Regions from separate parts of the Mus musculus genome. Here region 2 is reported to be linked to region 1. The links are microRNA targets in miRTarBase. Many come from high-throughput screens and were not tested one by one. Region 1 holds a microRNA gene; the other region holds the end of a gene's coding sequence.
What was found. Region 1 holds the annotated microRNA mmu-miR-7078-3p (UACUUUUUUUAUCAUCCACAG, at 2,080-2,100, shown strand). A microRNA usually pairs through its seed, bases 2 to 8, with sites in the 3' UTR of a target mRNA and lowers its output. Matches are read on the target gene's strand: a 7mer-m8 pairs with bases 2 to 8, a 7mer-A1 pairs with bases 2 to 7 and ends in A, and an 8mer does both.

Region 2: miRTarBase lists Prpf38b as a target of mmu-miR-7078-3p. Seed matches in the 3' UTR shown: 7mer-A1 at 1,835-1,841.

The regions. Positions count from the first base shown.
Region 1 is chr8:117,457,229-117,460,378 of GRCm38, forward strand. It overlaps Mir7078 (microRNA 7078), which reads left to right and starts at 2,037; the gene lies at 2,037-2,100. Cmip (c-Maf inducing protein) reads left to right here. Exons shown (of 21, transcript NM_001163262.1): 21 at 2,101-3,150. The coding sequence ends at 2,154.
Region 2 is chr3:108,901,362-108,904,361 of GRCm38, forward strand. It overlaps Prpf38b (PRP38 pre-mRNA processing factor 38 (yeast) domain containing B), which reads right to left. Exons shown (of 6, transcript NM_025845.3): 6 at 1,444-3,000. The coding sequence ends at 2,558. Among named protein-coding and RNA genes, the nearest start is that of Prpf38b, 8.9 kb to the right of the region's middle.

The sequences.
Region 1 (3,150 bases):
GGGATATCCAGAGTGAGAGGGGGGGTTGGTATATCTAAGCAAAGGCTCTGAAGCAGAGAAGATAGGCAGGCCCTGGCCGTAGCGAGCCTGGCTGGAAAGTGAGAACTGATAGAAGTCCTCATGGTCACAGAAGGACTAGGTTTTATCCAGTGTCAGGAACAATCCTGGGGGCTCTTGGAGGAGGGGGTACCACGTCCTAGTTTTAAGACCTTAGCTGTCTGGAAGATGGACTGTGGGAGCAGGAGTCAGGGTAGAAGCAGGCTGTGTGTCCACTAGGCTGGGGCAGAGAGGAGAGCATATATGTGGCAGCAGGCATGTGTCATCATCCATCAGAGGACACGTGCTTCTTAGGGAGGTGGAGGCAGGGCCTTCAGCACGTTTTGCTTTGGATCCCCGAGACACAGTAGCATCCCAGAAGCCCCTGTCAGAGGGTCCCCATAAGCCCTTGGTCAGGGTCCTCCTTCACTGAGGTCTCCCAGTGGCCCTGCAGCTACTACCAACTGCTGTCTTTGGACTTCCCATAGCTGGGCTTACTCTCTGATTCAAGCCTAGACCTAACACCCGCTGAGCCCAGTGGACAGACTTATACCACTTCCGGTGTCTCTGAGGCCACCCGCTCTGTGCGTTGATGGTTCACTATGCAGGCCAGCCCAGTCTCTCTGTACCAAACAGCAGCTGCCATGATTTGTCACCAGAGAAGTCCCTGAATCCCAGAGGACACAGGACTTAGGGGGCAGCAGTGGGGCCCACCCCTGTAGAGCTAGGCACACTTAAGATGACTCTGCAGACCAGTGCTCACAGCATTTGGGCCAGGTTTGGAAGAAATGTGGCCCCAGGACACACGCCTAGCTACATCTGTGCATTTACACACAAACACACCACAGGTACCTGGGCAGTTTAAGAAGCATAGCTCTCGGGGTATCCTGCACTCAAATTCCCCCAAAACCCCAGAGCCCCAAGAATCAAGTGGGAGAGGCTGCTTATGAGGAAAACTCACTTTCCTTTGTTTCTTTTCAGAGAGAGAGAGAAAGGGAGAGAGGGAGAGAGAGGGCGCCACATGTGTGGGGGTACACTCAGAGGGCAGACAGATTCTATGGGGCTGGAGTTATAGGTGGTTGAGAGCCATCTGACGTGGGTGCTGGCAGCAATGGCTGATCTGTCTAGTTCCTACTGTCTTTTTTTAAAAGATTAATGCTTGTTTTCCCCCTCCCCCCACCCCGCCGTGTGTGTGTGTGTGTGTGTGTGTGTGTGTGTGTGTGTGTGTACATGTATGCATGGAGATGCATGCATATTATTGAATGGTACTGGTAGGTACACAGGCATGTTAGGAAGACAGGAAATAGAGGCAGGAAGCCATTAATGAGTTCCAGGCAGCACTATACAGTGAAGGAATGAGCCAGCTGTTGAGAGGCTAGTCTACCAGCGGGAACAAAAAGGAGGAGCTAAGAAGAGTCTTGCAAGTTGATTGGCCTTTGTCCCACACCCAGTACCATATAAACCCGATGAGGTAATGCATGCTCCATCACTCGGAGCTGAAGACAGAAGGATTAGAAGTGAGGGGTCATCTTTAGCTTCATACCTGTTTGAGGCCAGCCTGGGCTGCATGAAGCTCTGTCTCAAATAAACAAATGTAATAAAAGTTATCAGGTGAAAGAAACCATACTGAGGTTTAAGGATAGAGGAAGCTAAGTGGAGTCCAAGCTGGCTGCTGGTGTGTTCTGATCCCTCACCCCCTCTGACTATTCTGTTAGCAATGGGAAGGGACCTATGGAAGTCCCGTCTGATTTCGTGGCGCTCGGGAGCTTTCCCAGAATGCTACGGTTAACCCTAAATGCCACCTGGGAGCCAGAGACAGGGCTCAGTTTAGCTGTGATCACGAGAAAACAAGCCTCAGGACATCAGATGTGTCGTCCAATTTCAGAAGGCAATTAAAATTGTATCTACTCTGGGTGATGGATGTCTTTGAGGCCACCTGTGCCCTGGGTCACCAGCCCAACCCCTTCCAGAGCCCTGAGATCCCACAGCCTCATAGTGGACAGGGTGTGGGTGGTAGGAGACGCTGGCTGGTATTTGACCAGGTACTTTTTTTATCATCCACAGGCCAAGCTTCCTAACCTAAAGGAGGTTGATGTTCGCTACACGGAAGCCTGGTGAAGCCCCCTCTGTGCACAGGATGGGCTCGCACAAAACAAAACAAAAAAGAAACAAAAACAAAAAAAGAAACAAACAAACAAACAAAAAAAAACCCGACTCTTGACTAATAGCCGTAGAGCAGAGCAGTGGGTCCCGGGGTGGTCCCAGCACCTGGCTGCGGGATAGATGGGGGAGTCTTGGGGGGGCGGAGGGGGGACGGGTGGGGAATCCTCGGCACGCCCAGCCCCCACCTAATTCTTAGAGCTTCATATTGGAACCTTTGACCTTGATCAAAAGCAGCCTTGGTGGCAACAAGAGGAAGAACTGCGGGTAGGGAGGGCAGGGGAGGGGTGGGGGGGTTCCCTTTGTGGATTTTCTTTGCCTTTTGTTGTGTGATACCGTAGGGGGGGGCGGGGGGAGGGCATTCATCCAGCCTGATGCTGTCCACTCGGGCCAGAAGGAGGACGCTTTCTTCCTGGAGGTGCACCGAGCCGAGATCTCGCCCCTACCATTGGGACAGGAATGTCATGTCACCCCATCGTCCTGTGTCTCCCACCATCGCTATGCAAAGTGGTTCTTGTTGTACATAAGATTTAAATAACGCACCTATTTAAGAAACGTTGACAAATTGTGGGTCTGGGACCCGCTCTTATTTATGAAGTCTTTGACCGGCCCTCCCTCCTCACCTGCCCCCACTTGCCTGCCCTTCTCACCTCCCCCATGGCGTGTAGTACTGTCTGGACCAGTCAGCTGTCGGGTTAGTGCTAGTGGTTCTGTTTTGTTTTTGTTTTTTGTTTTTTAAGGAAACAAACAACAACAGGGGGGGAAAAAAAAAAGACCTTTGGAAACTTAATTGCTTTTTTTTCTTAAGGGACTCTTGTATGCTAATGCTCTCCTGGTCAGTCAGTCTGCCCACTCGCTACTCTGTATAATTTCCATGTGTCTCCAGTTTCCTTGTGGGTGGGGATCAAGGTGGGAGGGAAGAGGAAGAAAGAGATAGATTCTCCACGTTGTAGC
Region 2 (3,000 bases), not on the chromosome of region 1:
CAGGGAAGAGGTTTAGACAGAGGGAGAAACAGTGGCTTGGAAAACAATGATTGAAGAAATGATGAAGAACTACAGACATCTAAGGAGTGCTGAGAGTGGGCAAATTGTTTTGCTCAGGGAAGATTTAGATACTAAGGGAACAGGGCCAGCCACAAGAGTGAAAAGTCCAGCCCTGGGGGAACCAATGACTCTGGCCTCAGGTTAGAAGCACCTGCACATACCATACGAAAAACAAATCTTACGGATTGAAGGGCTATAGATACTTGAAGATCAATAGCACTATCAATTCCCTTAGGAATTTATGCCTGCCTCTACCTTTCCAGGATTAAAGACCTGCACTCTTACGCCCAGATCTCTACTTTACTAAAAAAAGCATTCCTTAGTGTCTAAGAAATGACCAATGAATCTCGTCCGCCACAGGAAGCCACTCTATAGTCTGCTTACGCTACTGAACACTTCCAATGTAGTAATGGTATGCTCAAAGGCTGAGAACATGGCTCAGAGAACATCTGCCTATCATGTAGCCAGGGTTAGATACTTTAAGGGGGAAAAAATCAACTGAACATAAAACTGAGTTATTAATTACACTTAATGGCTTCCCAATTTCCTTAAAATTCTGTCTGAGTATGTGACAGCAACAGTGTAGGTGTGCCCAGAGGACACCATGCAGGCCCCTCTTCACTATGTGGACTCCAAAAGTCAAGACCTGGCAGCACTCACTTAACTACTTTGCTGAATAATAGTTACATCTGTACTACTAGTTGTAACAGACTAGTTGTCAATTTGAAATAGGACTAGAGTTCTAAAAGTACAGCATTTTAACCGGAGCATTTCACTTAGAGATCTTTCTTACAAGTGGTACAAACGCCCCCTGTGGGCTCTTCAATGAAATGCCTGATTGGTCAACACAAACCCAAAACCATAATGCTAATACCAATAACTAACCACTTTGGTCCTCTCTCTCTCTCTCTTTTTATTTTGTCCTGAATACATGTCTTAAAACTTTCAAAACCAAACTTTAAATGGTATTAATACTGTTCAAGTACAATTTCAACTATCAGCTTTGATGTGGACAGAAGAGCCCCTGCAACAAAAACAAAACAACAAAACCACTCCTTCCCCTAAAAGGGAAACTGCTATTAAGAGTCTAGTAAGTACCAGCATAGCGTATCTCCTTCCAACCTACAAGGATTAAGAGACTGTTTCCAGGGGTACATGTGTACACCATGAGATAGTATTGTTGCCAGCCTTCTCCTCCCAGCCCAGGGGTGAACTCAGGTCTGGCTGGGTGGGAAGCACCTTTACAGGCTGAGCAATGTGTTCTTTTTAAATAGTCACTTTTGCTCAAGATCTCCTCTACAGAAAACTGCTGACATTTTATCAGTTCCCACAATTTTCTTTAAATGTTAACAAATGGGGGGGGGGGGAAACCAACACCCAGGATAAAGGATTTAATCCAGTATTTATTCCACACTCATGATGGTTTTCTGAAATCAGAATACAAGTCATAAGAACAATCTATCAAATAATTTGCTGATAGTCTTAAATAACGCAGCACTGCATTACTGGTAATATTTCTGTCCTAGATTAAGTTTAAAAACTCAAACAGCAATCTTCATTATCAATAAAAAAAGTTTTAAATTCTTAAAAAAGGATACTATATCAAGCTGTTTCATAATTTAAGTATTCTCCATTATAAAATGCTTTGGAAGCTTAGGCTTGACTGCTCCTCTGCTCCTGCGCCCCGCCCTCGCCTGCTCCTGCGCCCCGCCCTCTCCCAATCACTCCTTAGTATAGGGCTGCTACAACGCCAGGCTTACACACTTTAATATAGTACTTTTAAAGTCTGAGAAAGAATTCAAGAGGGAGGGGGAAGCACATTGTAAAAAGGAAAGTAATAAATTTTAGGCATACTAACAGTGTCCCTTTGAGGTAGAATGCTAAAAGGACTTCTGATCAAATCTAAGCCTAATTTAAACCTCTTAAAAATTCTCTCGAACATTAACTGTGGAGAATAACAACATATTAACAAGAGCTTCCAAGGTAATATACAGTGGACAAGAATGTTAACCCTCCAACTGTTGCCTCCATGTATACTGAAAAACACATAATTCTCCTAAACAAACATCCAAGATCCATTCCCAAAGTCTTTAGCATTCTATTATGAAAAGCACAGCCATGCTAACTTCAGTACACAACCATAATCTCACACCTACAAAACAAAAATAGAATTAGTGGCAGTTTATTGCCTTATACAAATTTAACCAACATGGCAACCATGCCAAAGGAATTAAAACATTTTCCAGGACGTATGTACAGACTGTACATTTTAAAAACAAACAAAAATGCAAGAACATTCTGTGCATCATGTGTCAACTCAACAGGGTGAAAACATCAATGCGTAATGGGATTACAAAGGCACTTCCCTACACAAAAGAAAACACAGCCTACGGGGAGCTCAGAGTGCATAACTACTGCACAATCTCAACTTGGGGGGAAAAAAGCAGAATTTAATCAACATTTATAGGATTCAATGTGATCCAAGTTTACACAATCTTCACACAGTCTCATCTTTGCTTTTGTGTTCCTTTTCTTGGCTCTCTGGCTCTCCACTCTGGCTGCTCTGATGATCCTGTCTGTCTGACTGGTCCTTGCTATCATTATGCTCTCTCTTGTGGGAACGGTCTTGGCTCCTGCTGCGCTTTCTAGACTTCTCTCTGCTAGGGCTGTGTTCTCGTTTTCTCTTTTCAACACTGCCAGTTCTTCCTTGACTGCCACTTCTGCTTCTTTTATTTGCCTTCTCCTTGCTTTCGTTTTTATGTCTGCTTGACTTGTCCTTGCTCCTGCTCCTGCTCCGCTTCCCTGCGTTTCTGCTCCTGCTCCTGTGTTTCCTCTCTCTGCTCCTGCTTCTGCTGTGTTTTTTCTTGGACTCTTTTTTGTCATCTCTGTGTCGTCTGTCCTCCTTGTCTTCTTTGTGCTTCTTCTCTTCTCCATCACCCC